2 linked regions of the Anolis sagrei genome follow. The main gene of each other region encodes a partner of the protein of the gene in region 2 in a complex. Links are inferred from orthologs where the notes say so. Each region holds a gene or a part of one and is shown on either strand. Other genes may lie near its edges.

Region 1 (7,522 bases), on a different chromosome or scaffold from region 2:
GAAAGAAAAGAGAAAGAGGGAGGGAAGGCTGGTCACAGCAACGCCTGGCAGGTATAGCCAAAACAACTCCCTAGCAATCAAAACACACAATAACATATCCATACTTACTTCCAGACTACAGCTCCCAGTATTCCCCAGACCAGGCCCTTTAGGAGAGGAAGATGGTCCAAATGCACTCCTTCCAAGCTGCGAGCTTTCTTCTCCTTGGATTTCTTTGAGAGCATCCCAATCCCTGCATATTTCCCATTCCTGGACTGCAACTCCCAGCAATCCTCCAGATAGATACATTAGATAGACATAGGTAGGTAGGTAAGTAGGTAGATAGATAGATTGATTGATCAGTACTGCTGGGAGTTGCAGTCCAAGAATAGGTAGAGAGAAGGAAGAAAGAGGAGAAAGAGGAAGGGAAAGAAGGGGGGGGAGGAAGAGGGAGAGAAGGAAAGAAAAAAGGAAGGAAAGCAAAAGAAAGAAAGAAAGAAAGAAAGAAATGAGAAAGAGGGAGAAAAGGCTGGTCGCAGCAACGCCTGGCAGGTACAGCTAGTAGATATATAAACCCAATTTTCGTATTTCCTACAGACCTCACAACCTCTGAGGATGCTTGCCACAGATTATTATTATTATTATTATTATTATTATTATTATTAAACTTTATTTGTACCCCGCTAGCATCTCCCGCAGGACTCGATGCGGCTTACAAAGGCCAAGGCCTCAACACAACAACAGCAAACAATAACAATACAATTTAAAGCAACATAAAAACATAAGCAATAAAAAACAATATATCAATTACGCAATAAAAACCAGGGCCAGGCCAGTGATGGGTACAGGTTAAAAAGTGCTGGGTGTGGCAGGCGGTATGTTGGATTTCCGGGCAAGTGCAATGTGCAGAGAGTCTTAAACTCTAATAAAGTGCTTCTGGGAGGTAGTGCTGGAGATTATCCTAATCCGGAAAGGCACATCGGAATAGCCAGGTCTTCAGATTCTTCCTGAAGACTGCCGACGTGGGTGCTAGTTAGTCTAATGTCTTTGGGGAGGGTGTTCCAGAGTCGGGGGGCAACCACAGAGAAGGCCCTGTCCCTCGGCCCCACCAAAAGCAGGGCCTCTCCAGATGAACGAAGGGATCGCGTGGGTTCATACACGGAGATGCGGTCACGCAGGTAGGCAGGTCCCAAACTGTTTAGGGCTTTGTAGGTAAGCACCTGCAACTTGAATTGGGCTCGGTAAGTAAACAGCAGCCAATGGAGTTCCCTAAACAGAAGGGTTGACCTCTCCCTGTAAGGAGCGCCAGTTAACATCCTGGCCGCCGCCCGTTATACCAGTTGGAATTTCCGAGCCGTTTTCAAGGGCAGCCCCACATAGAGCGCATTACAGTAATCCAATCTAGAGGTGACCAAGGCATGGACCACCCCAGCCAAATCAACCTTTGTGAGGTACGGTTGCAGCGAAATGTCAGAAGAGAATGCTTCTAGAACATGGCCATATAGTCCGAAAAACCTACAACAGCCCAGTGTTTCCAGCCATGAAAGTCTTCGACAATATTTTTTCCTGGGTATACTTTTTGATCGTATTTGACATTGTAGCTCAAATACGTTTTGAAGTTGTTGTTTTTCCTACAAAGTTCTTTCCAAACAAGTGAGTCCACACTGCCATATATTCCAGTTCAAAGGAAATCATGTGTCTAGATCCAGGGAAGTCATGCTACCCCTCTATTCCGCCTTGGTTAGACCACACCTGGAATATTGTGTCCAATTCTGGGCATCACAATTGAAGAGATTTATTGACAAGCTGGAATGTGTCCAGAGGGCGACTAAAATGGTCAAGGGTCCGGAGAACAAACCCTATGAGGAGCGTCTTAAGGAGCTGGGCATGTTTAGCCTGAAGAAGAGAAGGCTAAGAGGAGACATGATAGCCATGTATAAATAATGAGAGGAAGTCATAGGGAGGAGGGAGCAAACTTGTTTTCTGCTGCTCTGGAGACTAGGAAGTGGAACAATGGCTTCAAACTACAAGAAAGGAGATTCAATCTGAACATGTGGAGAACTTCTTGACTGTGAGAGCTGTTCACAGCTGTTCAGTGGAACTCTCTGCCCCAGAGTGTGGTGGAGTCTCCTTCTTTGGAAGCTTTTAAACAGAGGCTGGATGGCCATCTGTCAGGGGTGCTTTGAATGCGATTTTCCTGCTTCTTGGCAGGGGGTTGGACTGTGGTCTCTCCCAACTCTATGATTTTAAGCCACATCTTCTGGTCAAGTGTCCCAGAGGTGCCTAAAAGGTCCTTGCTTGATATCAGCTCTCACAATTTCAATGTCTTTATAGAAATCCTGTTAGTAAACCTACAGAACAAACTGTTGAATGGTGGTCAACACATAGGTAAATCCAGTTGATTCAATGAGTACACTCTACACAATATCAACAATAGGATTTAGCTTCTTGTTTAGCAAATTTCCTCATAGCAGCTTACAGGTAGCTTCATTTAACATAAAGTTAAAAGAAAACCAGTTTTCTGGAGTGTTGTGTGGTTCTCAGGCTGTGAGAGCTGTTCAGCAGTGGAACTCTCTGCCCCAGAGTGTGGTGGAGGCTCCTTCTTTGGAAGCTTTTAAACAGAGGCTGGATGGCCATCTGTCGGGGGTGCTTTGAATGCAATTTTCCTGCTTCTTGGCAGGAGGTTGGACTGTGGCCTCTCCCAACTCTATGATTTTAAGCCACATCTTCTGGTCAAGTGTCCCAGAGGTGCCTGAAAGGTCCTTGGCTTGATATCAGCTCTCACAATTTCAACGTCTTTGTAGAAATCCTGTTAGTAAACCCACAGAACGAACTGTTGAATGGTGGTCAACACATAGGTAAATCCAGTTGATTCAATGAGCACACTCTACACAATATCAACAATAGGATTTAGCTTCTTGTTTAGCAAATTTCCTCATAGCAGCTTACAGGTAGCTTCATTTAACATAAAGTAAAAAGAAAACCAATTTTCTGGAGTGTTGTATGGTTCACAGGCTGTGAGAGCTGTTTAGCAGTGGAACTCTCTGCCCTAGAGTGTGGTGGAGGCTCCTTCTTTGGAAGCTTTTAAACAGGCTGGATGGCCATCTGTCGGGGGTGCTTTGAATGCATTTTTCCTGCTTCTTGGCAGGGGGTTGGACTGGACGCAGGGGAGGCTCGTCCATTACGCGAAGTAAGCAGTCGCAGAACACTTTTTTTTGCCAGGGGCGCAGAGGCGCCTCTGTAAATGCCCCCTGACCGCCACTTGAGGAGCGCCCCCTCAGCTCACAACAGCCCTAGCAGTCCGGGGGGGGGGGGGAGCCTCGGTTTTCTTGCCTCACTGCGGGGGATCCTCTTCCCAAAGGGGCCGGGCCCTTGAGCCTTGCCTAGCCCCTCTCATTCCTGCTCCACCCAGCCACTGGGTGTGCGAGCAGAGCCGGCGCTCAATCGTTCTCTGCGTTCGATCCCTTCCCCATGACCAGCTCCCTTTCCCGATCCCCTGGCGCTCCACTCGCCTCCTCTCCTCTCCTCTCCCCAATCCGCGTGTGGGCCAAGGGGCGGAGCCGCCACGCCTGGCCCGCTTTGGGTCCAGAGGCGTGTCTGAAGACCCCAGCGTGCGCACCAAAAGTCACCTCTTCTCCTGACTTTCTCTTCAGCCATTGGGACCAAGAGAGAGAGAGAGAGAGAGCCCCTTTGGCTGGAGGTATCTCCCACCTCCGCTCCCTCCTTTGTTTTTGCGCCTATCTTCCAGGAAAGGTGGGCATCTCCACCTCTGTCTCTGTCTCTCGGTCCCAATGGCTGAGGAGAAAGTCAGGAGAAGAGGTGACTTTTGGTGCACACGCCGGGGTCTTCAGGCACGCCTCTGGACCCAAAGCGGGCTAGGCAAGGGAGCAAGTGCGGCAAGTGTAGTTACTGGAATGTATAGTTCACCTACAATCAAAGCGCATTCTGAACTCCACCAATGATGGAATTGAACCAAATATGGCACAAAGAACTCCCACGACGAACAGAAAATATATATCAATGATTGATTGGGGGGGGGGGGCAAAATACTGTTTGCTTACCGTTGAAAATTACCTAGGGCCGCCTCTGATTCCACCTGAACATGAGGAAGAACTTCCTGACTGTGAGAGCTGTTCAGCTGTGGAACTCTCTGCCCCAGAGTGTGGTGGAGGCTCCTTCTTTGGAATCTTTTAAACAGAGGCTGGATGGCCATCTGTCAGGGGTGCTTTGAATGCATTTTTCCTGCTTCTTGGCAGGGGGTTGGACTGGATGGCCCATGAGGTCTCTTCCAACTTTTATGATTCCAAACAAGTGAGTCCACACTGCCATATATCCCACTTCAAAGCAAACCATGTGGGATTTGATTCAGCTGTTTGGAAGGGGTCCCATTCCTGCAAAAAAGGAAAGCAGATCCGTGTCTTTTGCAAATGCAAATGCTTTGTTTGTGGGAGCTGAGAGGAACCCGCTTGAGCATGCCAAAGCAATGTGAATGGGAAGGAAAGCATCTCTCAAACTCCTTTCCAAAGTCCTCCTCCTCCATCTGAGGAAGGTTTGGCGGTTTGGCGCCGTTTTGCACGAACCCACAGACACGCCAATGTTGCCAGTCATGAGGCAAGCGATCCCTCCAAAGGGGCCAGAGGTTGTCGGAGGTGGATGTCATGAGGGCGGGAGTGCAGCCTCCCTCTGGGTCGCTTTCGCCTTCTGCACGTTGAGGAGAAACAGAGAGGAAAAGAGGAGGAGGCAAAAAGAGGCTCCCCGAAGGCGGGATGGCGGCGACGGCGGGACCGAGCTCCTTCGAGACGCTCTTTGAGGGGAAAAGGCGGTGAGTCCGGGGAGAAAGAAGTCTGGGGGGCATTGAGGCATGGGAGCCCTGCTCTGTGGGAAAGGGGGCGCTGTCCCCTCTTTAGCTCCACCCTCTCCCCTCACCCCAAAGATCAGGGAGGCTCTCTTTCCTGTCTTGTGAGGGGTTTCTTTGGAGGAGGAGAAGAATCCTCAAATCTGGAGGGAACTCTGTTGGAAGAGAGACTTCAGCCACCCCCAAATATCCCCTTCCACATTGCCCTATATCCCAGAGCATCAAGGCAGAAAATCCCACAATATCTGCTTTGAACTGGGTTTTCTGAGTCCACACTGCCATATATTCCAGTTCAAAGCAGATAGTATGGGATTTTATTCAGCTGTGTGGAAGGGGCCTGGAATTGGGAAGTGTCCGACGTGTGATCCAATACAACAGCCAGCAGAGTGTCTGCTGTGAACTCATCTTGTTGTGTTTCAAATAATAATATATAATATAGGACATTTAATCAACTCCCAAACTCACAAATTTTGTATTTTTTCTGTTTGTTTGCTTTGTTCTGATAGAAATGTCATATAATTGACTGGTTGCCCTGGCACGACAAATAAATAAATAAAATTATAATACAATATATAATGTAATATATCATACACACACACATCTATCTATCTATCTATCTATCTCTATCTATCTATTCTATATATATATATATATATATATATACACACACACACACACACACACACACACACACACATGCTCTGTGCATAATGAGTTCCTTAAAAACAAAAAATCCAATGAACGAAATCACACCAAATTTGGCAACAAAACGTCTCACAACACAAGAAGTGACCATCACTCCAAAAATTATGATTTTGTCATTTGGGAGTTGTAGTTGCTGGGATTTATAGTTCACCTACAATCAAAGCGCATTCTGAACTCCACCAACAATGGAATTGAACCAAACTTGGCACACAGAACTTCCTTGGCCAACAGAAAATACTAGCAGCACTTAGGGGGCATTGACTTTGAGTTTGGGAGTTGTAGCTCACCTCCATCCAGAGAGCACAAACAATGATGGATCTGGACCAAACTTGGCACGAATATTCCATATGCCCAAATAAGAACACAGATGGAGTTTGGGGAAAATAGACCTTGGCATTTAGGAGTTGTAGTTACTGGGCTTTATAGTTCACCTACAATCAAAGACTATTCTGAATGAACCCCATGAATGACAGAACTGGGATAAACTTCCCACACAGAACCCCCAGGACCAACAGGAAATACTTAAGGCCATCCAGTACAACTCTCTTCACTAGGGCAAGAAAATGTAATCAGAGCCCTCGTGACAAAGAGCCATCCAGCCATAGATAGATAGATAGTAGGGCTGGGCGGTTTCGTTAATTCGTAATTCGTTAAAAAATCGTTTTTTTTAATAACGAAGCAATAACGAATCCTTCTGGAGCAACTTAAAAACGAAACGAATTTTTAAATTCGTTTAATAAATGCTTCGGATTCGTTATGTATTCGTTTCGTTATCGGTTTGAGGTCGTTTCGTTATTATTTCCGCACGTCTGGGGCAAGTTTTATCGTTGTTTTTTGTTTAATTAGTGAAAAAAAATTATAATATCACACCAACAGTCAACAACAGAGGGAGAGGGAAGCTTCAGAAGTTCCCCCTGTCCCATTTGGAGGTTTTTTAGCGTATTGCGCGGTCGCGTCCGCCATTAAGGAATCGATTCGTTATTGTTTCATATTTGTTTCATTAATGTTTCGTAATTTTTTTACATTTACGAAATTTCGTAAATATCGAACTTTTTAAAAGAAAAATTTCGGAATTCTTTTAAATATCGAAACGCAAAAACCCCCAAGAAACGAATCGATTTTAGGAACAAATTTTTCCGTTGTTACCCAGGCCTAATAGATAGATAGATATGATTTGCACACACACACACAGATATAGTATCATAGATTTGAAAGGGACCCCTAAAGAAGGACTATGATATGTTGCATATTCCAGAGTAGGCAAACCAGACACTCTCCACAGCAACACTGACAAAGAAGCAACAAGACATACTGTTTACCCACAAGCATAAAAAATAAATAATAAACTTTATTTGTACCCCGTTACCATCTCCCCAAGGGACTCGGTGTGGCTTACATGACGCCAAGCCCACAATACATCAATATAAGCAATAACAACAGCAATAAAAACAATTAAAATAAAGCTCATAAACAAAAAAGCAATAAACAGTGACAGTAATACAACACACATTTACACCTATGGCTGGGCCAAATGTAATTAAAGTTTAAAAAAATAATGCTAGGCATGAACAAGATAGGAGAGATGGGGCGTTGGTGAGAGCGTACAAACAATCCTAAATCAGTGTAAAGAAATTACATATATTAGAAACTATAAATCTCAACAACTACAACTCTCAAATGACAAAATCATAATTTTTTGAGTGATGGTCACTCCTTGTGTTGTGAGACGTTTTGTTGCCAAATTTGGTGTGATTTCGTTCATTAGTTCTTTTGTTTTTAAGGTACTCATTATGCACAAAGCATTTTTATATAGAGAGATTATTATTATTATTTTCTGTACACTGTAGAATTAATGCAGTTCAAAACTACCATATTTACTTGAGTCTGATGTTCATCTTCTTTGGCTAAATAATGTTGCCAAAATTAAGGTGCGAATTAGACTTGAGTAAGAGGATGACAGGCCCAATAGTGCAGGCAAGGTCC
Region 2 (7,484 bases):
AGGGTAGGAAACAGAGAGATATATGGTCATCTGTTGATCAGTAAATTGTGGCAAACGGTCCATCACATTACTGAATCATAGGACTTGTAACTCAGTTTTAAAGGTAATTAAGTTTACAAGTGTGAAATAATGGAGGTGTAAGAGGCATATATTTCAGAGATCAAATTACCTTCAGACACTTATTTCTACCCAACAAGCCTTAGTAGCTGTTACATTTAAAAATAGATTATTATAAAACCTGCAGGGTCCTTAGTTTTTTTGTTTTAATTTGATGTGCATAATTAAGGTGCTAACTACCTTTAGATTAATTAGCCTCTCTCCTGCAGCAATGTGAGAACCTGTAGAGCTAACATACACATATCACTCCTCAGCCTGCTTGAGTCAGAAACAGTTGGCTTAAGGCTACCAACCAAGGTACACCTGGGCAAATGAACTATTGAATGCAGGGAGGCTTGCCTCTGAGTAAAGACGCATGGAATTGTGTTACACTGATCCCTGAAATCACTGGGATTATGCCTGCAGTCCTATCCACATCTGTCCTTAAATCCAGTTGTTTTATATGTTGTCATCTGACTTATGATTATTTCCCCTGAAGGGTATGTAATATTGCAGACTCTGAAGTATGCCAGATTCACTTGCATGTCACAACCCACTTCTATCTATGTGTTTTTCAGTCATCTGCTGACTATATCTTTCTTCAGTCACAATTTTTATCAAATAATCCTTGCTTAATTTCACAGTACATTCTGCAGTGAAAGCGTATTGCTATTTGCATACCTGCCCATCATATATCTCCCAAACCACTAAGGCAGAGTTTCTCAACCTGGGGGTCGGGACCCCTGGGCCACCAAAGAAGGGTCACCAAAAACCATCAAAAATATAGTTTTTTTTCTGTTGGTCATGGGGGTTCGGAGTGGGAAGTTAGGCCCAATTTTATCATTGGTGGGAGGGTCACCATTGGTGGGAAGGGTCACCAAAGACTATCAAAAATATAGTTGTTTTCTGTTGGTCATGGGGGTTCGGAGTGGGAAGTTAGGCCCAATTCTATCATTGGTGGGAGTCAGAATGCTCTTTGATTGTAGGTGAACTAAAAATCCCAGCAACTACAGCTCCCAAATCTCAAGATCTATTTCCCCCATAATACAACAGTGTTCACATTTGGGCATATTGAGTATTCGTGCCAAGTTTGGTCCAGATCCATCATTGTTTGAGTCCACAGTGCTCTCTGGATGTAGGTGAACTACAATTCCAAAACTCAAGGTCAATGCCCAGGAAACCCTTTCTGTATTGGATGTGGGAGTTTTGTGTGCCAAGTATGATTAAATTCCATCATTGGTGGAGTTTAGAATGCTCTTTGTTTATAAATCCCAGCAACTACAACTCCCAAATGACAAAATCAATCTTCCCAAACCTCACCAGTATTCAAATGTGGGCATATCGGGTATTTGTGCCAAATGTGGATCAGTGAATGAAAATACATCCTGCATGTTAGATATTTACATTACGATTCATAACAGTAGAAAAATTACAGTTATGAAGTAGCAATGAAAAAAATGTTATGGTTGGGGGTCACCACAACATGAGGAACTGCATTAAGGGATTAGGAAGGTTGAGAAACACTGCTGTTGAACTATCATACACACATCAGTCCTTAGCCTGCTTTTGCCAGGAACAATTGGCTTAAGGCTGCAAACCAAGGTACACCTGGGTAAATAAACTATTGAATGCAGGGAGGCTTGCCTCTGAGTAAAGATGCATGGAATTGTATTAAACTGATCCCTGAAATCACTGGGATTAAGCCTGCAGACCTATCCACATCTGTCCTTAAATCCAGTTGGTTTATATGTTGTCATCTGACCTATGATTATTTCCCCTGAAGGGTATGTAATATTGCAGACTCTGAAGTATGCCACATTCACTTGCATGTCACAACCCACTTCTATCAATGTGTTTTTCAGTCATCTGCTGACCATATCTTTCTTCAGTCACAATTTTTATCAAATAATCCTAGCTTAATTTCACAGAACAATACATTCTGCAACACAAAGTGTATTGCTATTTGCGTATCTATCTTCTCTCTCTCTCAGACCACTAAGGCAACGTATCTGCAAGTGTACACTGAATAGTCTACTGAAGTATTAAAGTGGCCACTACATAATCAAATTAACATTTTCCCCGACTTGAGAATATTTATTATCAACCAGCTGGTTCTTCTGCATCGTTGATAATCCCAACTGATGGTATTAACTCATTTCTATTTTACTACCATGGCTTCTACAGAGAGATTTAAAGCATTTTCTATATCCCCCACAATTATTTCTGTCCTCTTCTTCTGTTTCTTTCAACAGAGTAGCTATAATGAGAGCAAGCGGAGGAGCACAAGCGAGAGAAAGTAACTTCTAATTATAGACCATTTGTGTGGAAGGATTCGAAGGCTCTGCCGATAACACACTTGGAACATTTCAGACGGCAGGACCTATGACCTTACCTTGGTAGCCAAGGAGAACGGAAATGAACGAGTGGGGACAGACCTCCTCCAGCACCGAGCAGAACGCGGACAGGGCACCGGGCCCTTTGCAAACCAGTTTCTCTAAAAAATAGGCAGCTTGCTTCTCGCAGCACTCCCGGGACAAAATGTCTTTGTACTCCTCCAAGGAAAAGACTCTCTCATAAACCAGATATGACAGCACTTTCTGCACATCCAGCTCTCTCACGATTCTCTCCCTGTGGTTGCTTAGGATATCAGCAAGCCACTGGTTCCTATCTGTGCTTTCTTTTTTGGTTGGTTTTGCACAGTTATAAAACCAAGACCGGACCGGCCACCTAAACATGTTTGCATTTAAAGCTAAAAATAAATAAAAAGAAAGGATTGCCGCTCTCTGTCAGACGCTTGCAGCCTTCCGGGGTCTATAGGCACGCCGTGGGAAGGCAAGGGGGTATCGCCTGCCGATAGATAGGGCAATTTGACTGGAAAAGCAGAGGCCTAGGTTCGAATTATAAAAGCACAAAAAGCAAAAGAAACTGCCACGCACAGTGCTTCCAGCTCCCTAAGAGGATTACTTTACACTAATTAGCCTTTTACAAGCGTTAATAGGCATCTCCACAACCACAAAAAGGCAGAGAGGAGAATAGCTGGGCTACTGTTCACTTTGTAATTCTCTAAACCGCTTCGCAACAAACAAAACGAGTCTATTGTAGAAAGTTACACTGAAGAAGACAGGATATCAAAGCACTTATCCATTGCAGGCAAGTATTAAAACAAGAAACAAGGGCACAGTTTTAAGTGGATACTAAGATTTCTGCCTTGTTGGGCTGGCCTCCCAAATAATACTGTGATAGTGATGGTCCCTTTTAAGTAGAATTGCACAAGTGATATACCCGTATATACTCGAGTATAAGCTGACCCGAATGTAAGCCTAGGCACCTAATTTTACCACAAAAAAACCTGGGAAAACGTATTGACTCGAGTATAAGCCGAGGTGGGAAATGCAGCAGCTACTGGTCAATTTCAAAATATAAATACCAATACAATTACATTAATTGAGGCATCAGAAGGTTAAATGTTTTTGAATATTTACATAAAAGTGTAATTTAAGATAAGACTGTCCAAGTTTGATTAATCCATTATTCTAACCTTCTGCTTATGTATTCTTCCGATAATAATAAAGAGAGTGAAATAATAAATGTAATAATAACAATAATAAAACAAAATAATAAATGTAATAATAAGAGTAAAATAATCAATGTAATAATAACAATAACAACAGAATTCAATAATAAATTATCTTGACTCAAGTATAAGCCGAGAGGGACTTTTTCAGCCTAAAAAAGGGCTGAAAAACTAGGCTTATACTCGAGTATTTACAGTATTTGTTCTTATGCATACATAAGCAGAAGGCCTAGGACTTGTTCTTCATGGGTGTGTACTGTTGGAAAAAGACATTTGTGAGGAGCAGGGAAATAGTCTAAATCTTTTTGGAAACTTGCATTTACAATGTTTAACACTGATTGTATCTTTTGTGATTCCAGAATTATTGGATGATTGTTTTTTTTAAAAAAAAAACTCTCATAAATAGCATCTACTTAATGAATTAGGATTAAGGGGAGAGATTCTGACAGCTTCAATGTAGGTGTACTGCCAGTAGTAATTATTCACTGAGGATCAAACTTGCGTAACAACCCTGCTTCACATATACCCATAGTATTTACTCGAGTCTAATATGCCATCGAATCTAATGTGAAGCTCAATTTTCAAAATTCTGAAACCAAGAAAAAAAAAAGTATTTGCTGCCGAATGTGATATGCAGTGGCAAAAAGTGTAGTTTTTGTAATTTGGCCAAAAAAAAAAAAAAAGACATGCATTACTGTTGCTGACTGATTAGGATTCCTTCATTTATTTTATTTATTTACTTCTGGTATTTCTAACCCGTTCCTTCTCAGCCTCCAAAGAGGGATTCAGGACGGCTTACATTTGACAGCAATTCAATGCCACTACAAATAACACGGCATTACTGAACAAGGAACGTCTAAAGGATTATGAGAACGAGATCTGATTTCATTCAGGCGTAGATGATTATTTGTTGTATGTCTGTATATGTTATGTCTTATTTACTGTAATTGTTATTAATCGCACTGTAAACCGCATAGAGTCGCTGTATCAGGCTGATATATGCGGTATAAAAGAAAAGCAAATAAATAAATAAATAAATAAACACTTAAAACAATAAGTAAAACATCTCTTTTGGAAGTCATGCTTCCAAAAAGCCTGTGGAGATTCCTGGTTTCCCCAAAATTCCTCTCTCCTCGCTCATTTCATCTTAACAAACAACTTAGTGAGGTAGGCTAGGCAGGGAAGCAATGACTATCACAAGGTCACCAAGCCAACTTTGACGTGCGAAGAACCGTGTTTACACATCTGTTTCGACAGGCCTTTGATTTTTGATATTGCTGTTTTTAAATTGTTTTAAATTGTTTTTAAATTGTGTTAGATTTTAGCCTGTTCTTGTAAGCCGCTCTGAGCCCCAGGGGAGTGGCGGCACATAAATTTGAACAATAAATAAATAAAATAATCTAGCAACTTCCTGAACTTAAAAAAATAAGCAACATAATTTCATCTATGCTGACGATCATGCCATCACCAATGAAGCAGGGAGCTTTGAAATGATGATGATGATGATTATTATTATTAACTTTATTTGTACCCCGCTAGCATCTCCCGAAGGACTCGATGCGGCTTACATGGGTCGAAGCCCATGAAATGGTTGAACAGAAGCTCTCTGAAGCTTTGGGTGCTCTTACTACCTATTACAGGAAAAACCAGCTGACTCCTAATTCATCTAAAATGCAGATGTGTGCATTTCATCCAAAGAACAGACAAGCATCTCGAGCTCTGAGGATTATGTGGGAAGGAATCCTATTGTAGCACTGCAGCACAGGAACACCTCAGCAAGCAAGAGTCCAAAAGTGGCAGGTTAAAACCCAGAATCAGTGGCTGAGACCAGATGAGAAACTCCCTCCTGGGCACACAGAAGACTGGGAGACTTGGAAGGTGCTGAACAGGCTGCACTACTGCTCCCCTCAACTTTTCTGTCACTGGAGTACACGCCCCCCACATGGGAAGTTTAGTTCACAACCCTGTGTTTCTTTATCAGCTCCCTGCAAATAACTTGCTTCTATTCTTATCTCATTAGAGTTTTTAAACATTTTATCCTGTACATGTGGTCCGCCCACATGTGTCACTGTGATTGTGTTTATTTTTATTGTAATGTTATTTTGTTACTGTATTCATATGTTTTTTTCCATGTAATTTTGATGATGTTGCTTGTTGTTTATGTTTTGATTTTATTTTTGCTGTAATATGTTGTCTGGGCTTGGCCCCATGTAAGCCGCTCTGAGTCCCCATTGGGGAGATAGTGGCGGGTATGAATAAAGATTATTATTATTATTATTATTATTATTATTATCATCATCATCATCATCATCATAAGATGCAGCGCCAACCTTAAAAAATGGGGCCACAGAGTGGAGTCCAGGAGTGTGCAGAAGAGCAAACCACAGACAACTTACTATAATTCAGTCTGAGCCCTGCCACATGCACAATGGAGGACCTCCTTACAGCAACAGTAGAACCACTCCAAGTGGCCAGCTTCTGGTCAACCACAATTCAAGAGAGATATTGACAAGCTGGAATGTGTCCAGAGGAGAGCGACTAAAATGATAAAAGGTCTGGAGAACAAGCCCTATGAGCGGCTTACGGAGCTGGGCATGTTTAGCCTGAAGAAGAGAAGGCTGAGAGGAGATATGATAGCCATGTATAAATATGTGAGAGGAAGCCACAGGGAGGAGGAGGGAGCAAGCTTGTTTTCTGCTTCCTTGGAGACTAGGACGCGGAACAATGGCTTCAAACTACAAGAGAGGAGATTCCATCTGAACATGAGGAAGAACTTCCTGACTGTGAGAGCCGTTCAGCAGTGGAACTCTCTGCCCCGGAGTGTGGTGGAGGCTCCTTCTTTGGAAGCTTTTAAACAGAGGCTGGATGGCCATCTGTCAGGGGTGATTTGAATGCAGTGTTCCTGCTTCTTGGCAGGGGGTTGGACTGGATGGCCCATGAGGTCTCTTCCAACTCTTTGATTCTATGAAAGGAAATTTAGTATAATGCCAAGTTTTTAACTTTGTTTGTATTTTAAAATACATTATAACTGCACCCTCAATTCGCTTCTGACACGATAAATAAATAAGCAACAGGATGTATTTGTTTTTGAAGTAGTAAACTGTGATGTGTTATTTAAACATTTAAAAACTACAGGATGCATCACCACATACATACCTTGTGTTTTTGGAGAAAAATACACGGTGCCTAAAGTCTGTTTCTGGAGCAAAATTTTCTGAGATACTGCCATCTTGTGCTTGTCTCCAGATATGGCCATCTTCTATCTGAAGCAAAGTTTGTTAACTTGGAAGAACTTCACGAGAACCTGGAAATAATATTGATATATTAGGGGACAATTAGTGATTATGAGGACCTTCCGTCATACCATACCTCTGTACATTTGCAGATTGCCTTAATTGAAAGGTTCGGGCAAATGCATTTCTAAGTCTGTACTACTTTTCCACTTCCACCTTTGGAAGGTTTAGTGTGAAGATGTAAGATGGCCAAGCTATGTGTTCACATAAAACATTTTATCTCCCTCAGATAATGAGTAATATTGTAGAGCAAGCATGGGCAAACTTGGGCCTTCCAGGTGTTTTGGACTTCAACTCCCACAATTCCTAACAGCCTCAGGCCTCTTCCTGGAAGAGGCCTGGGGCTGTTAGGAATCGTGGGAGTTGAAGTCCAAAACATCTGGAAGGCCCAAGTTTGCCCATGCCTGAGGCACATCTGGTTATAAAACTATTATAATAGTTATTGTTGTGTTTCCAGATTTAAGGTGTATCCACTCGGTGAATGCAGGTAGACATCACTTGGCCAGCCATGACTCAATGCT

What was found.
Region 1: the proteins of TJP1 (region 2) and GJC1 are in contact, whole or in part, in a crystal structure (PDB 3SHW), measured with the Homo sapiens proteins. The link is inferred for Anolis sagrei from reciprocal best matches to the Homo sapiens genes TJP1 and GJC1. Residues at the interface, in NP_003248.3 of Homo sapiens: Lys429, Ser432, Val433, Gly434, Leu435, Arg436, Leu437, Gly449, Val450, Leu451, Val484, Leu487, Leu488, Leu549, Asn551, Gly552, Lys553; in NP_001073852.1 of Homo sapiens: Lys391, Thr392, Ser393, Val394, Trp395, Ile396.

What each region holds. Positions count from the first base shown.
Region 1 is NC_090026.1:47,648,881-47,656,402, forward strand, and holds the start of GJC1 (gap junction gamma-1 protein), read left to right. Parts: upstream 1-4,507; 5' UTR 4,508-4,801; intron 4,802-7,522. UniProt on the Homo sapiens protein: One gap junction consists of a cluster of closely packed pairs of transmembrane channels, the connexons, through which materials of low MW diffuse from one cell to a neighboring cell.
Region 2 is NC_090029.1:6,538,392-6,545,875, forward strand, and holds the start of TJP1 (tight junction protein ZO-1), read right to left. Parts: upstream 3,002-7,484; 5' UTR 2,832-3,001; coding exon 2,489-2,831; exon of another isoform or gene 2,349-2,488; intron 1-2,348. UniProt on the Homo sapiens protein: TJP1, TJP2, and TJP3 are closely related scaffolding proteins that link tight junction (TJ) transmembrane proteins such as claudins, junctional adhesion molecules, and occludin to the actin cytoskeleton.